Linked DNA regions of Yarrowia lipolytica. The main gene of each other region encodes a partner of the protein of the gene in region 2 in a complex. Links are inferred from orthologs where the notes say so. Each region holds a gene or a part of one and is shown on either strand. Other genes may lie near its edges.

Evidence for each region. The genes of interacting proteins can lie anywhere in the genome.
Region 1: the proteins of YALI1_D16609g (region 2) and YALI1_B03335g are in contact, whole or in part, in a crystal structure (PDB 3ONL), measured with the Saccharomyces cerevisiae proteins. The link is inferred for Yarrowia lipolytica from reciprocal best matches to the Saccharomyces cerevisiae genes ENT3 and VTI1. Residues at the interface, in NP_012659.1 of Saccharomyces cerevisiae: Asp53, Ser56, Gln57, Thr59, Tyr60, Asn61, Phe62, Glu64, Arg65, His100, Gly101, Ser102, Glu103, Arg104, Arg154, Arg157, Lys158, Arg161; in NP_013924.1 of Saccharomyces cerevisiae: Leu31, Asn35, Thr36, Leu38, Lys39, Glu42, Gln43, Gln45, Asp46, Asp50, Lys88, Gln92, Leu94, Val95, Asp96.

What each region holds. Positions count from the first base shown.
Region 1 is NC_090771.1:327,914-337,942, reverse strand, and holds YALI1_B03335g (uncharacterized protein), read right to left. Parts: upstream 4,374-10,029; coding exon 4,274-4,373; intron 3,830-4,273; coding exon 3,771-3,829; intron 3,620-3,770; coding exon 3,119-3,619; downstream 1-3,118. Other genes in the region: YALI1_B03404g (uncharacterized protein), read left to right, coding at 1-238; YALI1_B03324g (uncharacterized protein), read right to left, coding at 4,876-5,269, 5,321-5,478; YALI1_B03314g (uncharacterized protein), read left to right, coding at 6,508-6,993; YALI1_B03299g (uncharacterized protein), read right to left, coding at 7,717-7,810, 7,880-8,016; YALI1_B03290g (uncharacterized protein), read right to left, coding at 8,416-8,743, 8,793-8,887; YALI1_B03288g (uncharacterized protein), read left to right, coding at 8,940-9,024, 9,069-9,223. UniProt on the Saccharomyces cerevisiae protein: t-SNARE found in various SNARE complexes involved in multiple transport pathways. The composition of the t-SNARE complexes is specific for a limited number of v-SNAREs and therefore allows only the vesicles carrying the matching v-SNARE to fuse.
Region 2 is NC_090773.1:1,656,373-1,666,511, reverse strand, and holds YALI1_D16609g (uncharacterized protein), read right to left. Parts: upstream 5,611-10,139; coding exon 4,111-5,610; downstream 1-4,110. Other genes in the region: YALI1_D16672g (uncharacterized protein), read left to right, coding at 1-321; YALI1_D16656g (uncharacterized protein), read left to right, coding at 853-3,765; YALI1_D16567g (uncharacterized protein), read left to right, coding at 9,792-10,139. UniProt on the Saccharomyces cerevisiae protein: Involved in the recruitment of clathrin to the Golgi network and endosomes to form clathrin coated vesicles. Plays a role in the trafficking of clathrin between the Golgi network and endosomes.

The DNA.
Region 1 (10,029 bases), on a different chromosome or scaffold from region 2:
TGAGAGTGTGTCTTCGGCCTCGGCCTCGTCGTATCTCGAGGAATGGATGTCCAGTGCCAATTTGCTTCGAGGGCTTCCTGCTCCCGACATTCTCATCTATCTGCAGGCTGAGGGCTCCGAGTTGGAGTCGTCGGCAGTGGAGTTGAGAGGCCAGGGCAAGCTGGTGGTGGTTCGAGGAGACGACTCGATTTTCGAAAAAGTCGTGGACAAGATTGTCCACATTATTGAAGCATTGTAATATTATTGTATTTATGGCGAATGACTGCCGGGTAGTGAGCGGGGAGGAATCTGGCGTATTGACATGATCTAGTGTGGTGTGATGGATGTGATCTGTGGTCGGGGTGATCTGTGATTGGGGTGATATGTGGGATGGATGGATGGGAAGTAGCCTGAGATTGTGACGAGAGAGAGGATGATTCTGTATGGATCAGCCATCACCGTCATCAATTCGTGGGATGTGATCCCAGCTCGGTTGTCTGTGTAGGTTCGCGCCACGTGAAGAGTGTGGTCTGAAGGGCGGCCTTCAATTGGGCGAGTAATGGAACACGGGTGAGTGTTGTTGCTGGTGTGTTGAGTGTGTGGGTGATCATGGACTGTCTGTGTCATGTCAGTGTAGTCGTGGATAACGAATGCTCTGTACTTTCAACTATCAATTGCTTTCGCAACGACCATGTCGACCTCACTGACTCGTCACCATCAGCATCTGTTGCTTAGAATGACTCTCACACACCCTCTTCTACCCTCCACAATGATACTATGCGTCAGAGACGGTGACGGAGCGTTGAGTCCTCGGCAAGGGGTCTTGTATAAGGTGGAGGAGGCTGTGTGAGTTGGTTTCATGGCCCAGAAGCTGATTTTGGGTCGCAGATGCGGTTTTCAAGGTCAATAGTGGCTTTTCATGAGCTGTTTTTCCGGTGGCGAGTTTTGTAGAGAAGTCTTCTAATATGGTTGCGAGTAGTTGGCTTTTGGGCTCGGAAGTTGGGAGCAATACTTGACTTGTGCATAATGTCAACTACTGCAGAAGTTGATGTGCAACTACAGCAGTTGGTGGGAATATCTAACGGGCACAAGAAATCATTGATTGGAACAGGTCGTCACGAATATCAGACCATTTTGGTGGGGATAAGTCACCCTACGAGTCTCTTTGAGGACTCTCCACGTCATCCAATACCCTACAGAGACGATTTCCTAAGTCGTTGACTTTTGTCGACGGTGCCCCCAACATTCTGTGCGATACTTATCACATCCAGAACCACGTTCAAGTTCTGTCTACAGCTCGAAACAACAAGTTTGTGTCCTCTGAGAGCTTGCTCTGCTCCGGGCAACTCCATGATACACACGACTTGGTAGCGCTCATCATGGTGCTCCGACTCAGTTATTCGAACCAACCACCTCAGGGACACCACAGGGACACCACAAATATCCACTACACTTCAATCGTTATCGTTAGTTATTAACACGATCCTGTCAGCTATTATTCAGCTCTATCTCACTTCCAACTGTCAATCAACGAGCCCGCAACTGCCAACCAAGCCTCTCTATGAACCAATCAACTCTCTTCGCTGAGTGAGAATTGGTCAGGGCAGCTTAAAGGACTACAGTACTTGTCTGAGGTAATGCTCTGTGGGTTACTTTTGGCAGGAATATCGTCGGTAGGTTGGATGGAATGGGCCTCGGCCTTTGTTTTTGGCTTCTTTCCCCCCCCCCCCCCCCCCCCCCTCATCGTTGTTGGAGTGTCTAACTGTACAGGAGCCCTCGGAAAAGGCATTTTATGGACTTGCTTTTTTTTTTTTTCTGCTTTTTTTTTCTGCTTTTTTAATGGCTTTTTAGGTATGCTCTCACCTGAGTATAACTAAGTTGGAAGTACTTTTGTTAAGCTTGGACATGACGTTGGAGATGATCTCGACGAAGACAGTCACGTGCCAAGAGAATATACCGGCAAGCTCTTGGATACAGAAGGTGGAGACTCTCAGTCGGTGTGGTTCCATTTGTCTTCTATGTCCTGGACTGGGTTGATCCGGTCCCCTCTCGCTATGTCCATCCCTATCACTCTTCCCAAAAGCAATACAGGAGCCGATAATATACTATAAGTATAGCCCTGATAATATTTTGGCGGCATTAAAAGCCATAAAAAGCCCGTATTGAGACCCGCATGCAGCCATTACAACGAGTGCAGCCGTCAGCTTCACATTGCACCCTTCACAAGTCATTGGGTCTTTGCAAGTACTTTTACAAGTACTCAACTGGCTCCATGGATTGTGAGTTCATTCTACAAGCTAGACCTTGACTCCCTCGATGCTGTACCGACTCTGGCTGTTGTGGGACGGTTATGGAAAAACAAGTACAGTACATACTTGTATATTCCACACCACAAGCTCAAGTCCTTACTTGCGTTGACATCACCAGCCAAACAATAACCAGTATAACCCAGTCCACATAGCACCGCTGTTTATTTGTTTGCTTATTTACAGTATTGACTAAAAGTCGTAGGTTTGAACCAACATGCCTTTGATTATGGTTGTCTGATTGTCTGAGACACGCCACTGGCCAGCCTGTGCAGACACAACAACTCACACAATTGGTTGTTTGTAAAGAAAGAAAACACCTCTCATAAGTCATTGGACCTCTTATTCCCCCTTAGTCAACTTTCCAATCTCCTAACAATGGTCCTTAGCTTGGTTTTAGACCGCTCCATGCTGTTCATTAGGTCCTATTTCAAATACACATTAATTTAGACCAAGACGGAATAGCGCAAGTGTCAATACTAGAGCAAATATTCATTAGACGACAAAGTCGCGAACAACTGCCAAGTCTCGAACGTGTTATCTGCAGTACTGTAGCCAACTTCTTACTGTTGCTGCAAGGTCTAGAGCAAGAGCATGTATGGAACCACCATTCTCGAAAGATTTAGAAGCCAGCAACTGTACAAGTATCAGGGTTACTCAGAGTGAGTGTCAATGAAGCGAGACTGGCGTTTGCTTGACTCTACGTCTTGGAAGAGCTACCAGTATCCGTTCTTCTCCACTTCCTACCCGCCATAGAACGCACTACCATCACCAACTTGCATTGGATACACCCTTTCATTAATAATTATAGTCAACATTACGTCATTTACCGTCTACCAAAACTTGCTGGCTAGAACCAGCAGAATGAGAATCACCAACACAGCAATGATCAGGTAGGTCAACACCTTGTTCATAGCCATCCTACGGGTCATGGACCGCAGAGTCCGAATACTCTTGTCCACGTAGCCATCTGCCTCCAGCAATGTGTTTCTCGAGTTTTGAATCTGTTCCCGCTGGCCCCGCAGGTCGGTCAGAATGTTGGCTCCAATGGACTCAGTTTCGTTGGCCACTCGTTGCGAGTCTCTGATTCGCTGCGAGCTTCGGTCGAGGGACTCCTGGCCAGACAGAAGCTGCTGTCGCTGGTCGAGAGCAATGTCGCCGTCGCCGGCCGCCGATCTGTCTCCAAAGAGCTCATTTCGAGCGCCAGCCTGCTCCACGTTGGCAAGCTGCTTCTTAGCAGACTGGATTGACTGTCGATACTGTCGCAGGTTGGCAGACAAAGGTGCTCGCGCAGACGAGGGGATGTTTTGGATTTCAACCGAGAGTTGGTCAAGCTGAGTTAGTAGGGATGAGGAGATTGTTGGGCGTCGTGTCTGTAGTCCAGCCGGATCATTAAGACTGTTAAATAGACCGGTCCAAAAAACCAGATCCATTTTTAACCAGTATGTCGTTTGTATCGACCAAATATCCCCCTTCGATACTCACAATTTCGTAGGCCTCGCCAATGGTTCGCTCAACGGCCTTGACGGCAGATGTTCGGGCGTCTGTGTTAGTACTGGAAATTGACAAGTTAAGACCCGTGTAGACATGAGAACGGACCGTATCACTGGAGTAACAGAAAGCAATTACTTGTGTCCCCCATGAACTTCTTCAGGAGTGGTTGAAGTTCAATCGAGCGCCTGCAGGAAAAAGTTGATGGTGACAGGACCATGATTCACTGTCTGGTATTTCACAGTCGTGAATAACAGAATACCCGAATTCCAAAGGGCTATAGCCGTTCAATCAGCGTTTCTTGTCACCAATAGTGAAAGATGCACCGCTGGGCAGCATCTGTCGACGACTGCCAAACAGCAATCTCGTGGTAGAATACGTCACCTGCCAGATATCAGCAGTCGAAAACATTGCGAATGCCACTTGTTCATGTCATTCCTTGTCGATCAAATACCACGTCATTGTCGAGGTTGCGCCCTTGGCTCGCCCATACTCACCTCGCTCGAGCGTCGAAATGCTCTCGAGCTTCTGCTCAATCTCGGATTGCGCCAGCAGAAAGTCCGTCTCGTAGCTCTTGTATAGTTCGCTCGCTTCCATGATGTCGTGGCGGGGGCTAGAATACAGTATGCGTGATAGTGGATAGTGCGTGATAGCGGTGTGCGGGGCTAGGGCTCAGTTCGATTCCTACGCGGGCTGATTTTCAGGATTTTTGAGGGTGATAATAAGAAGGCCGAGAGCCATAAGATGCGCTCCATAGCGGGTCCCACGGTGTATGAAACTCCATTTTCTCAATTTGGACAATTTGAGTGCAGTTTCGCCAATATATATTTAGTTGAATTCACCTAAGTAATTAAACAACTTTACTTACACCATTAGTTAACCGAACATGGTCACCATGGACTAACGGCTGAGCGAAATCTACGATGAGGAGAAATGTACAGCACATACAGGAGAGCTCACAGTACCAAGACAGACATTATAAAGCAAAGAGAGTTCATTTGTTCAATTTTTTTTTTCTTTTCGATCTGCTTTGGACCTGCATGACAGTTCCAGATCTCTTTTCATCCAGCCAATCATCATGCCCAGTATATGCAGTCTTCTACAACATTTCATAGCGGTATCTGAAGGCCCACAACTGTCTTAAGGGGTCACGAGACCTTGTGCGCGTGACCAAAATCCCGCTGGACGACAGACACACTTGAAGCAACAAGGCAGAAAACCGTTTAGCCGCTTCGTTTGCCCTATACTCGACAGACGCAGGTAGTCGGAGTGGATTCGGAGATTCCGGTTGGACACAAAAGAAACGCAGCCGGGACTCGCTCCTTGGCACATAGACATGGCAGCCGCTTTGAGAGTTGCGGGATTTGCTCAGTGAGCTCTGCGCGCTCTTTTTCCGGCCATCTATGCCTCCAGGAAGCGCGCCGACACCTGCAGACGCCGGAAACTGGAGTTGTACGCGCGACAAGGACAAAAGCCGTTTGGTTTTCGTGGAGCTATGTATACGGGCTGCAAATGCGACGGGAACGCAGGGTCAAGTTGGGTACGAGAAGGGGTCGCTTATGGACCCCCTATACGGTGGTTCCTTGTATGTGAGAAGGCGCCACAACCGTGCATGTCCGGTCAGGTACGAGTACGAACTGTACGAGAAAGGCAAGTAGACTGACAATTGTGCATCTGTATCCGCCGCGAGAAGAATGGCCATAAGAGATCGAGCGCTTTTGATTGATTCTTTGTGACCAAACCGCTTTTGTTCAGGGCATTCGAAAATAGTTTATAGTGCTGTTAGAGTCAACTAGAAGGTCAAGTATAGATCAAGTACAAGTTCAGTTCAAACACAAGTGTCGTACAAATGTCGCAATCACTCAATCACCCACCCTAGCTCATAACCTGTCGACACATCCCCCAACGTACTGCGTACTGTACATACAGTACTGTGCACAACCACATCCAGATGCGCCTACTACCGACCTGTGGGTGACCCCACATGTAAGCGTGTCTCAGGAAAGGATAATAAAGCCGTTTTTTGTTATTATATATAGTATTTTCGTAATTCGGAGGAAGATCAGATCAAAGCCCATTTTTATTTGATGAATTCTGCTACATGAAAAAGACTCCCATTATATATCCAAGCAACTCGTGCTTTGGTTGTACAGTAAATGACGTCCTATAGGGCCTTTTAGTCTTCTCTCTTACTGTAAGCGTTTCTATTGGCTGGGTAGAAACCCCCGTCAGGACGTGATAGAGGTATTATATTTACACTACAAAGAGTGCGTTCGTCTTGTAATCGGATATAGAGCAAAAATAAACTATCAGAAATCAAATCGGAGCAGTATTCACCAAGCTGACTAAGCACCCAACTCAGCCAAATGAGACATAATGCCTCCTTTTCAACTCTGATAAAGCAAAAAAAAGCTAGCAAGCTACTGAGAGAGATCTGAGGAGGTCTTTAGAGTGCTCACCATGCCGCAAGCTCCAGATATCACCAATTAGTCCTATCAAGCAACGGATTCGGGCGCTATATCACCCACAAGTCTTGATATAGGTACCCGAGAGCGATATATATTGCACCATTCAACTCACCACATTGACAGCAACACCCCAATCCAGCATTATATCAACGTCTTCAATTTCCCCTCGACCGCTGACTAATCCCCCACTCAGCTCCTCTGATAGAGTTTAAAATGTGTACAGTTTGAAGATTCAAATCAACATTTTTTCAACGCCACCGATAATGCTCCGTACGTTCTCTCGACAGGTTTTGCAGGTTTCCCGGGCCGTTCCACGGACGTTCCGACCCGTTGCCCCGGCCACGCGTCTTTTCCAGACCTCGGCTCCCGTTTTCCACGGTCATGTGCACAAGCCCAAGCCTGGCGAGGAAATCAAGGTCACCTTCATCACCAAGGACGGTGAGCAGATTGAGGTTGACACGTGCGAGGGCGACAATCTGCTGGACATTGCACAGGCCAACAATCTGGACATGGAGGGCGCTTGTGGCGGATCGTGTGCCTGCTCCACTTGCCACGTGATTGTGGACCCCGAGTACTACGACAAGTTGGAGGAGCCTGATGATGATGAGAACGACATGCTGGATCTGGCATTTGGCCTCACCGAGACCTCGCGTCTGGGCTGCCAGGTGTGTATGTCCAAGGATCTGGATGGAATCCGAATCGCCCTGCCTGCCATGACTCGAAACTTGCAGGCTTCCGATTTCAACTAAGATGGACAGGTCTAGTTGAATCAAACACGACTTTTGAACGAACCAAGTCAGGCGGAGATCAACCAGTGGCGGAGTGTAAATAGGCCGAGTCTTGGACCGGCATTCTGATTCGATGTTGACGTGGAAGGTCATGTCCAGATTAGAAAACAGCAAATGATGTGTTAGTTAATGATGATGTTTAGTATGTGAAGTGGTGGAGGTGAGATAGGCGGGTTTGTTGTTAAAAGTGAAGTGGATAGCTTCAATCCTCTTTCAGAAGGTACTGTTCGGGGTAGTTGCACTTGTCATGTACAGTACCTGGGGATGTATATTTACAAGACAATATGGGTATATTGCAGGGTACGGAGGTTCGATAGTGCTCTATAACGACTCTGGAGGCTCTGCTGTCATTGAGCCCATCGTCGTGGCTTTTCTGAAACTGATTCTGTGCTGTAGGTGGAGTGTTGGTGAAATGCCATGTCTTGTGCGATCCAATGATATGTTACAAGGAAGAGAGCTTTGCAACGGGATTTGAACAGCATGGAGGATTCGATTAATAATACGCTCATATCTTCATATGCTCTGGAACGTGTTCTGTGACCCTGTTCAGAAAGTGGAGCTGAAACCCACGAGAGTGTCTACTGAGCCCTAGAGACTTTTTATGAACAGAAAATCTCATCAAGACAACAAATAGTGATTCAAATAAACATATTGTCTCTTACCAATACTCATAACTCGTCTATATCATACTCTGTAATCGTTATACAGTAATGCCTGGTGCTGTGTGTGGACGAGACCAATTGAAATCAGTCTAACGACAGGGAGGGGGGAATCGGGACTTTAAATTGAAGATTAATCGGACAATATCGAGATACTTGTACCTGTTGTATCCTCGATAGTACCTTACTGAGCCCATTGCTGCGTTAACTCCCGCCAAAGCTGATACTGACTAACCTGGAACAGGTAATGGAGATGTGAAGTGCGGGACTTGGGTAGAAGGTGCTTGCACTCACTTATTTCTTGGTCAATTGGTTGTATCTCCATTGCCAACGAAAGAAGTAGTATCATTGAGCGCAGTACAAGTATGCGTATACTCCAGCAACACCGCAACAAGGTCTGACACAGCTTCGAATCTTTTTAAAGGGGGGTACTGCACTGTCTCTGTAACCTCGTCATCACGTCTCCTGCGTCTCCTTCAGCAACCCTCATTTTGGATAACCACACCTGAAGCTAGGAATACAGCTTACTCATCCATCGCGGACGATCAGCAGCACCGCTGAAATGTAGTTACCATGTCTCACACTCAGTGATGGGGATGAAACTGCCTGGGTGTAGATCCTCACCTGGATCTAATCCGCGTGTCGCATTTCTTTTTGAACGTTGCTTTTTCGGCGTTTCTTTTGGCCAAAATCTTGGAACGCAGTTGGCCTATCCTGTGGAACATTAGCAGCCGTACATACTGTAGTCAGTTAACGACGCTCGAGGTGGTCTGATGCTGGTTGATTGGCGTGCTGTGTGGGAGTCCGGGGAGTGAGTGAAGGTGGAGATGAAGTTTTGGAGAATCCTAGCTTTGTATGAGCATTTGAAGGGTTGAGGAAGAATGTACTGTGGCTGAACATATTCGGTAGGGGTTGGCGGATTGGCGGATTTGGCGGAGTTGGCGGAGTTACCGAGTTGATCAGGTTGACCGAGTGGACCAGTTGACGGGGACGAGGGGTTGACGAGCTGACAGAGCTGACGGAAATGATGATGCTCCAATTCAAAGTTGATCCTACACAATTGGATTATACCGATTCGATTCACCCACTTACCGCAAGTACAAACTACACCAATGCCTCTCCTCCGAGTTCAGTAACAGGACAAGCTCAATGCTGCGCCGGTTCTGCTCTCGTACTACTACACACCAGAGCATCATCTCACCATCCACATGCCTAACTTCGAATCTCTGGCACCAATGCTAGTAAAACATGTCAGCCGCTTCTGTTCATTCTCTTTCGACCTGCGCAAGAGCACATTTGGCGTATTATTGGCCAGTAGAAGAGATGGGACTCCGTCGAGTTGAGATTTATCTGACTTGGACTCGAATACTGAGTCAGGGATGATTCTTGGCGATGCAATAGTAATAAGTGAGCGTCATGGTACAGTAGACAACAGGCGTGGTGAAGTAGCTACACGTCTCCACCCCTTGAACTTCCACAAGACTCTTTACGTAAAGACAATGATGACTCATTGCGATTGTTCACCGCTGTAAAACTGTTGTTTATCACTAGAACATTTATATCGTACATTGTTCTTTTTCTTGTTCTCTTGTTCGAAATTCTGCGCTCCGCTCCACCATTCTGCGCTGCCTGCTCCGCCATTCTGCGCCTCTATCCACGAATGTCCTGCCACACCGTTTATTATTCCCCATTGGTCTTCTTTCGCAAATATTATTCACGGACGGCTCCACCAGGCACCTCGTCGCTCGTATATTTTATCCTCACTGAGAATGGTGGCAGTATGTATACAACGATCAAACAAAACCCACTGGGGCACTTTGAAAAACACAAAAAAAGTAAGACAAAAAAACATACAATAACGCGTGAACACACTCAAATCATCACCAACCTCCAACCCTCCAACCTGACACCTCCAACCTCCAACCTCCAACCTCCTCGCTTGGCTTTTTTTTGCGCTTTTTGTGCTTTTTGTCACCATTGGGAGAAAAATAATTGGTGCGATATCGATTTTGCCGCTTATTCCGCCCCTGTACACGCACTGCACTGTATGTATAATGTGTAATTCTTGCGCAGTTATACATAATGTGAGTCTCCGATCTGGGTCTCTCTTTTGCAGTTTTTGCCGGCTTGTCTTTGTAATGGAATATGCATCGGAGTGAGCTGCATCGTTTACTTTTGCGCCATGTGCTGTAGTTAGGTACAAGTACGAATTTCTATTTTATTTTATTTTATTTTATCCATTTTTTGTTTTCAGTTCTTTTTCCGCTTCTTATTTTGCATTTTCTTATCGATTTTAGGAATACAATCTCATTATGGAATGGAGTCATTGTATTATCAA
Region 2 (10,139 bases):
CTGGAGGCGTCGGTTCGAATCCACGATCTCAATGATGAGGAGATTGAGGGTTTCTATCTGGCTGGCCTGGCCTCTTTCACGGCCTGGGAGCAGGACAAGGAGGACCTTACACACGCTGTAGCCGCAGCTTCTGCCTTCCAGCGAGCCTCCAAGCTGTACGAGAAGCAAACCAAGCAATTTGGCGAGGCTTCTTGCGACCCAGAGGTGGTGCAGCACATTCAGGAGATGTACGCCAAGCTGCCCTCCGATCTGGAGATTGAGGAGGACAAGAAGGAGGAGTATGACGATTCTTGGGAAAAGGAAATTGTTTACGAGGAGTAAATAGGATAGTTTTGATAGACTTATATGCTAAGATGAACATGGCGCAGAAGGAGGGTAGTCTGGGATCACCAACTGTTTGAGGAACGATCCAGAGTTCAGAAACGCCAAAACCGATGGCACGGGAAGAAAAGAAATGTCTGTAGCAGCAAAACAATATCATGTGGCATTTCTTTTGAGTAAGTATATCGCCACCAAGGGGCTTGTCTCCACTTCGTATTGAATCGTGTGCGTGTAGTGCCCAGCCTTGCAACAACAGTACTATCACCCTCCTTTTCTTCCCATAGGCAATTCTTATCATGTAAACGAGTTTATGGTCTGTAAAAGGTGGCTTCTGAGCATTCATCAATATCTCAAAAAATCTCCGCCTTGTCTACTAAAAGTGTGTGTCCTCTTCTACTACAAGTAGTACCAGTCCCGCCAGTCACCACTGGTGTAGAAAAACCGTGCATAAAGTTTTGCCAAAGTCTAAAAAAATATTGTAAGACGCACGGAGCGATATATCTCTGCCATCCATTTTCAGAACCACACAGTATGGGAAAACGAAGCAAAAGCAGCCGGTCCGGGCGAACCACGACCGCCGGCAAGGTGTTTTCGTCCAAGCGAGCCACGTCGTACAAAAACGAAACCGAGCCCTCCAAGCCCGTACCCAAGTCTCGAGGCAAGCATGCTCTGTTGAACGCCTTTGAAATCGCCGAGGCTGAGGAGCGAAAGAAGGCCCGTAAGAACGGGGAGGAGTACTCCGACGACTCCGAGGATCACGACATTGACGATGTTTACGATGACGGTATTGTTCGGTTCAACAAGGACGGAACTAGAAAGGTGTATCAGCCTGGCGATGAGGAGGAGGAGGAAGACGACTCGGAAATCGACTCTGACGAGGCGTTTGGCTCTGACGACGGCGACGAGGAGATTCTGGACTCTTTCGGCGTCAAGTCCAAGGCCAAGGCCAAGTTCAAGGCCATGGAGGACGAGTACGACTCTGTGGACGAGGAGGAGTTTGTGGATCTTTCCGAGGCCTGGGATCTGGACGATCGTCAGCAGGAGAACCTCAAGAAGAAGAGCGGTGAGAAGGCTGCCCAAAAGGAGGATGCAAAGAAGAGCTCAAAGACCAAGGCTACCACTTCTTTCAATCTTCAGGAGGAGGAGGATGACGAGTCACATGGAGATGATGAGTCTGAGGAGGGAGGATCTGAGCAGGAACAGGATGCGGATTCCGAGGACGTTTCTGACGGAGAGGAGATCGACTCTGATAACGACGACGATTCTGATGACGGTGACGACGACTCTGATGAGGAGGACTCGGACGGATCTGTCTTTTCCGATATCGATACCGAGTTTGATGAGGAGAAGGCCGACAAGCTTCGATCTCTCATTTCCAACATGTACGAGAACGACGAGGATGCTGAGTACGAGAAACGACGACGATACGAGAACAACAACCAAGAGGAAAATGAGTTTGGCGTGACAGTGTCGAAAAAGAACAATGATGGCAAGCTGTCTCTTTCGGACCTGACTTCAGGTGTGGACAAGAAGGCAGCTGCTAGTCTGTCTCTTCTTGGCAAGCCCGACGGCAAGTCCAAAAACAAGCCCCAACATGTGGCTGTGCCTCTCAGTAAACGTCTCCAGGACAAGGTGGAACGTAAGGCAGCTCTTGATCTGACGCGAGAGGAGCTGACCAAGTTCGACGACCTGATTGCCCAGGACGAGGATGCTGAGCATCTGGTTTTCCCCCGTCTTCCCGTCTACGACTCTGATGAGGAGGCCAAGCAGCTGCCCAACACCGGTATTTCTGCGCTGGCCCCCGAGAGTGCTATGGAGAAGAAGATTGCCGGTATCCTCAAGACTTCTGCTCTTGCCGACGAGTCGCAGGCACAAAAGTTTGAGGAGCTGGCCACCAAAAACATGTCTATGGAGGAGCTAGCTGCCCGACGAAACGAGCTTCGACGAATGCGAGAGCTAATGTTCCGAGAGGAGCAAAAGGCGCGGCGAATCAAGAAGATCAAGTCCAAAACGTACCGAAAGATCCACAAGCGAGAGCGAGAACGGCTCCGAGACGCCATGATGTCCGACGAGGAGAGTGACCAGGAGGACCACGACATCAAGCGAGCTCAGGAGCGAATGTCGCTCAAGCACAAGAACCAGGGCAAGTGGGCCAAGCGAATGGTATCGCAGGGTCTGACCAAGGATGCCGAGACTCGAGGAGAGATGGAGGAGATGCTTCGACGAGGTGAAAGTCTGCGAAAGAAGATGTCTGCTCGGGACGACAACGATGGCGACGAGCAGATTGACTCTAATCTGGGCGACGACCAGTTTCTGTCCCAGAACAGAGACGCTCTGGTTGATCCTGATGAGCCTGCTGAGGGAGCTAATCTGGGCAAGGGTCTGCTTGGCATGAAGTTCATGCGAGAGGCTGAGGCTCGTCAGAAGACGGAGAACCAGCAGCGAATCCAGGAGCTCGATCGAGCCAAGGCCAACTGGGAACTTGGGCAGAGTGACGACGAGGACGAAGGTCGAGTTGACACTGCCAACGAGATTCTCAACCAGGGTCGACGAAAGTACGCGCCCGGAACCAAACGGTCTATTGCCGATGTGCTTGCTGTCAAGATTGACTCTGAGCGAAAGGCTGATCTTCAGTCTGATGATGATGAGGATGATAATGACGACAGAGATAACGACAACGTGACTACTGTGGTCAAGAGCGACAAAAAGAAGGAAGGAGGTGCACAGGACGACGATTCTGATTCAGATGACGACGCCTCCAACCCCTGGTTCACCGAAACCAACATCCACAAGAGCAACAAGGTCAAGCCTGTGATGGAGGCTGAGGCTTCTGCACGAGACCGGCTGGCCCACAAGGTGGCCAAGCATCAGAGCCGGGTGGTGGAGAGTGCGAAGAGCAAAAAGGCCCGCAAGCAAGATAACATTCTCATTGACACTTCCGATACTCTTGATCTCGTGACTCAGGATCGAGAGGCCGACACTGACAAGGGTATCTCTTTCAAGCAGGATATGATCAAGCGGGCCTTTGCAGGAGACGATATCGTCGAGGAAGAGTTCATGGCCGAAAAGAGACAGCGAATCGCCGACGAAGGAGATCAGGAAATCGACATGACCCTGCCCGGGTGGGGAGGCTGGGGAGGAGAGGGCATGAAGGCGCCCAAGAAGCGGTTTGTCAAGAAGATCCAGGGTGTGGCCGTCGAGAAGCGTCAGGATCGAGATCTCAAGAACGTGATCATTTCGGAAAAGTCGGACAAAAAGTCGGACAAGTACCAGGTCAAGTCGGTCCCCTATCCCTTCGAGTCTGTCGAGCAGTACGAGGCCTACCTCAAGATGCCCATGGGCCAGCAGTGGACCACGGAGACTACCCACCAGAAGCTCATCAAGCCCCGAGTCATTGTCAAGCCCGGAGCTATCATCAACCCTCTGGATGCTCCTCAAAAGTAGTGTCCTTCATTCTAAAATCTCGTCAGCCATATATAGAGGCTTGGTATATATTTAAGTGTTATGAAGTATGCACACACGTAGTGTGCTAGTGATCGATGCCTATGACTTTGAGTGCTTTAGTCTGGTACAGTACACTCTCATTCTCATCTACTGATCGGAGTAATATAGTTGAACATTTTGTTAAACTATCTGGGGTAGAATGCACACACTGAACAAAGTCACACTTGCGTTACAATGTCTTTGGTTCCCGTCTATATGTTTGCCATTTTTCGGCCACTCATTTCCATTTCCGTATTCATCAAATCATTATTCATTACTGGTCTAACATGTCTACATGGGCCACATTTACAGATCCAAAAGGTTGCCGGTCTCCGCAGGCTTAGAAGCAGGAGCAGGAGTGGAAGAAGACGAAGAAGCGGGAGCGCCCCACAAAGCCTCCTCGTTGGACTTTTGGGCCATGGATGACAACGAGGTTGTGGGCTCGTTCTTCTTGGCCTTGGTAACGCCTGTGGAAGCGGTGCTCCACAGGTTGGAGAAGGCGTCTGCTCCGCCAGATGACTTGGCAGCTGCAGGCTTGGAGGCGGCTCCCAGGCCGGTGGAAGAGGCCGATGCGGGGGTGGACGCGCCACCGAGACCCGAGCCGCCCAGGGCAGGGGTGGAAGAGCTCATGCCGCCAGAGCTGCTCTGGAAAGAGGAAAAGGCAGCGTAGTTGGGACCCGAGGTGGTGGAAGCAGCAGTGAAGGAGCTGTTCATGTTGCCACCCATGAGGTTGTTGCTGTTGGATCCGTTGCTCGCACCAGTGTTGGTGGGGATGTTCTTGAACAGATCGTCGAGGTTGGTGAGTCCGGGCTTGGTGGCAGGAGCAGCAGCAGCAGCAGCGCTGGTGGCAGCAGTGGTGGCAGGAGTGGCCGACTGGAAGTCGTCAAACTCGTCCTCATCATCTCCAGTAGCAGCGGAAGCAGCAGCAGGAGCAGAGTCGAATCCAAAGGGATCGTCGGACTTTGCGGTCTTGGAGGGCACGGGAGGGGGGGCAGACTCGTACTCGGCAGCGTCTCCTCCGGCATCGTACTCCTCGAACGAATCATTGTCGTTGAACTCGCCCGATCCGCTGGCCTCGGCGCTGTTGCCGTACCCGGGTCCGTCGTATTCGGAGCCATCGAAGCCTCCTCCGTCGCCAAAGACACGGCCTCCTCCGTATGCTCCAAATCCGGACGACGAGCCTGAGGTCGAAAACCGGCCCGCCCGCGATCTTCCTCCCATTCCGCCACCGCCCAGCTGGACGGAGTTTGCGGCGTCATTACCAAAGCCACCGTACTTGTTGCCGGTGCCGCCGAAGCCCTTGGTCTTGCTTTTTTGTGCTCGGGCCTTTTTTCGCTCGGCCCGGATTCGAGCAACATCCTTGAGCAGCTCGTTGAGCTCCTTAGCCCGGTTTCGCACGTTGATACCCTGGTCTTTGCCGTTGGCGTCGATGAAGTGAAAGTTCTTGAGCATCTGGATCACTCCTACGTGGGATCGGGCGTAGTCAATGACCCGCTCCGAACCATGCTTGACCAGGTAGTCCAACAGCTGCAGAGCCTTGTAGATCTGGCGCCACTCCTCCGACGTCTTGTCGGTAAACCGTCGGTAGATCATCGACATGATGTCGTGGAACTCGTTGTAGTTGTGGGTGGCATCCGCAATCTCCTGCATGGCTGTGCTGGAGGCTCCCCATGGCTCGTTGTTGGTGGCCTCTCGAACCTTGGCTTCGATGGGCGTGAAGTTCATCACGGCATTCTGGGCCTTGCGCACGTACGCCTTGACGTCGTACAGGGACACGTTGGACAGCTGGTCTCGAATCTGGTCCATCTTACCGCAGAGTGGAGGTGTGTAGTTGCAGAGTGGTGGAGATATTCACTATCGGTATGCGTGGCTTTAATGCGGTAGGGTAACCAACAAGCCTACTTGGGAGGAGATTGGGGGGGTGGGGGATGCAGTTTATGTAGTTGATGAGAGGGTCATTATGGGGTATTTTGGGGGTCACTGTGGTATCGTTTGAGAGCTGAGAATTGTGCGCATCCCGTGGTTGTGGCGGATTTGCATTTTGGGCGATATTGGTGGCGCTGTTGTGGTTTTCACACATTCAACCCGAGCATCATATCAGCACCACTTTCGCCAAGAAGGATTTCATTTTTACAGTGATTCGAATGGATTTGAGGGCTACAATCATTGGTGGCATCGGCCTAACACCGCCAAACAACACCCATCTCTGCCCAGCTCAACTACTTAGTTAGGCTTCTTAACAAAAGCCAAATATACAGTTTATTTCCCCACGGTAAAAAAGAAAGGTGCTGCTACAGACGTTGATTCTGCACCTACAAGAAAGATAGACCTGCCAAACCCAGCTCCCGGTCGCCCTCTCTCATATGACGAACCCCACGCTCCCCTTTTCTCCTCAAATAGCCCCCAAACCCGCCCTCCAAACACACCCCAATCAAAACACCTGCCCTCGCACATTGCCAGCAAAACAACCCTATTTGTCAACTCTGATCTCAACGGCTGAAACGGTTCAGACTAAACGATATGGCGAGGAAATGATAGGCTGGAAACCGACCGGAGAGATCATGGCATGTCTAGTGTTTTTGCCGGTGGTTTCCGGGCTGGTTTGGCCCATAATCTCTCTCGTCCATGTCAACCCAGTTGTTGCATAATCTATAAAATCAATTCCCTCATGTTCTGTATAGGATGAGTCTGTACAGTGACACCATACAATGGGGATTTAATGGCTATATTGAGAATCCATGACTAGAATGGAGGAGTGCTGAGGACTATTCAAAGTGAATTTTATCAGCTATTTCTCGTTACATACTCTCCTGGATTAAATAGCGCCTCTAAAATTCACCTTTTTTCTTTTTTTTCCAATGATTCATTTTTTTCCAATTATTCATTTTTTCCACTCTTTTTTTTTAAATTCTATGACTAATCCGATTTTGGATCAGGTACGTGAAAATTCACAAAACCTAAAGTTGCGGGCGTGTAGCACAGTGGTAGCGCGTGGGCTTTGCATGCTTGAGGTCACCGGTTCGAACCCGGTCTCGTCCACACTTGTTTTTTGCCGTTTCTGGAGGCTTGCGGCTTTTATTTTTGTCCCCTTGAGTATGACTACGACCTGCGGCGGAGACTGGGGGGCTAGTTTTCTTCCGTCATAAAGCACCAAAAATTAAACTAAATTAAATTAAATTATTTATTAAAAGTGCCCCGCAACCTCGTCAACTCAACTACAAGTGTACTGGTTGGTGCTGGTTCTGGTGATGGTCTCAATAATGCAGCCAAAATTTCGACCAACATGAGATTATTTTAACAGAAAGCGTATTGGAATTTCACCACAGTTCCAAAGAACGACCAATGTCTTTTCAAGCATTTTGGACACCCTGGAAAGAAGCCTAGAGACTGACATGACATGAAGCCCCAGCAGACATGACATGAAGCTCCAGCAGACAAGCCCCAGCAAGTCCGTGATGGCGCTGTATGTCAAGAGGAAGATGATGAAAAGCCAAATGACATATGTTTGCTTTTCGTCACCTTCTCATGTTGCTCACCGATCGCCATCTTCTTGACTATAGGAGATTTTGAGCCACGGTCATGGCAACTAATCAAGACTGGAATCTTTCCAGCTGCTAACCACACATCTGCCAGATTCAAGCACGAGTGATTGTAATTCGTCTGAGTTGAGGAAGTACGAGTACCTACCAAGTGTCTATTGGTGCCACCCTTCCGACAACAACATGATATTGTAGAAACACATAGACGAACTGTAGACAAGAGAAGCACACTGACATACCAAAATTACCCTTTAAACAACTATTCGTCTGTCAAGAAACAATTGAAATCCCACATCTGCCAGCCTTTTATCGCGTCTTTATTTATTCTAATGGTCACGTGACTTTCCTATCTCATACTAGTGAAGAGGACAATTTTGGAGCTACACCGTCCGGGCTGTTGGTGTAGTGGTAACATATCTGCCTTCCATCGAGTAGTTAGCAGGTGCCAGGGGTTCAATTCCCCTACAGCTCATTTTTTGCACGTCAATGTTGCACGAGTTGATTGACGTCCATGATATTCTCTTTTGCTTTTTCTCTTGTTTTTTCTCTCGTCCTTTTCTCGTTTTTTCTCTCCTTTTTCTCTGTTTTCTTTTTTCACGTCTTCCTGATTTGGCCAACCTTATCAGCCCCGACTAAGCAATGTTACTTGTATATTTGAAGATGATCTGGGTGGTTTTTGATTAAAAAATCAACGTTGTTGCTTTAGCGGAAGCATTAATTACTATATCTCATGTTTGAAAATGCGATTTTGTTTGCATTTTGCAAGATGGTGCTTTCCGGAGATAACTGGAGATAACAGAAAGGTTCATAACCATAACAAGGACTCCACCTTTTTTGGAAAAATATCACCAAGTTTCGACAGATTTGGCAAAAAGAAATCTCCCGGGGGCGAGTCGAACGCCCGATCTCAAGATTACAATATGATACCATTACAGTCTCGCGCCTTAAACCAGCTTGGCCACCGGGAGGAATTGTGATTTGGCCGAAAAGTTTGGGATTTTGACGGGTCGGAAAAAATAAATTTGAAATGAATCATTAGTGAAAAAACAAACCAAAAAAAATTCATTAAAAAAACAAAGCCCCCTGTAGGCCCCAAGTAGCTGAAAAAAGCTGTGGCAGAATCAGAGAAATCGACACAGTTGGCGACATGAAGTGACCTCCAAGGTCCAAGGTGAAATTCAAGACTAAGACGTAAAAAATTTCCGTAAAAAATTCCAGAGCCAACTGAAAATACAGATCAAGCTTTTGGCTCAGGACGAGAGATGCGCGCGATGAACGGTGCAGAAAAACATTACAGCTCTGGATTGAGTACTTGTACCGAGCGGCTGGGTATTCAAACAGGTAAAAAAGTAAAAAGTAAAAAGTGGACGACACCGGAATCGAACCGGGGACCTCGCGCATGCTAAGCGCATGTGATAACCAACTACACCAGACGCCCTTGATGAGAATTGGAGTCGGTTGCATAGCGGTTCTGGAAATCGTGAAAAAAAACAACGTAATGAATGATTAGAAATAAATAATAAAAAAAAAAAAAAGAATCATTAGAATAAAAAAAAAAAAAAACAACAACAACAAAAAAAACACCAACAACATAACAACCATACACCGAGCTACTCCAACTTCAACTCCCCGATGTCGCAAAGACTCCATCACGATACACACGAATCTTGTTCATGATTCCTATCCGAACTACACATCCTTCTACGATCTTTATGAACAAACTAAACCAACCTCGAGTTTGGATAAGACATGCAACGATGAAATATATGATTAATTGATTTATTTATTGATGTATTTATGTATGTATTTATTTATTGATTTAGTAGTCTTGATTCACTACTATGAGACCGCGAATAGGACAAGGATAAGATGAAACGACGACGAGCCAACAGACATGCCCCTCGAACAATTATTAAATGTATGATTCATTGATCTCCAATAAGCGGCTTCTTGGTATATAGCTGTGGTGAATCATTAGAATAAAAATAAAAATAAAAATATTATAAAAATTACCTTGGACCTCCTTGTTGAAGTCCTATACACAGCTTTGACTCACTATCTAGAAGTACACATGTTTGGTCGGTCAGTTATACGCGCTTATATTCGTACTCGTATCGTCGTACTCGTACATCTCGTCAGTTGATCACCTGAAAAGAGATATATACTTGGGGCTCACTATTAATAAGCGGCCATACACTCCACCCCATCCCAAGATGATGTACCAGAAGAAGGGTATGGAGGTTGGTGCTGGTAAAGAGACAAGCGGATTGAGTTGGACAGGTGCTTGTAGACGAAGGACACCACTGTTGGTTTGTCAATTGGTTGTCAATTGGTTATCAATTGGTTATCAACTGGTTATCAACTGGTTATCAACTGGTTATCAACTGGTTTTGTCAACTGTCTCTCCAGCGTCTAGCTGAGTGACTGATCACTGACCTTTCAGGAACAATGAGGCAAATGACTGGTCCTGTTTGCTTGTGCCACGGCGAACAAGTCGGTCTCTTTCTGAAAGGGACGGACCTTGCCAACTTGCACATCACACAACAGTTGGACGCTTCCCTCTTTCTAACCCGTCTAGAGCCAAAAATGCCCAGAGAACAGCCTCCTATACCGGCTCGAGACAGTGGAGTGAGCTTCAACTCCAACCTTTCCAAACAGCGGTCCTACGCCTATCTCAACCCGTCGGTCAAAACCGCCGCTTACACGTCTTCCACAGCCTCCAGGCACCTTTCCCACAGCTCTCTCAGCAGCCCATCTCCGGTGACGCCTCCAAAACCAGCGTTTTCGGCCAACGAA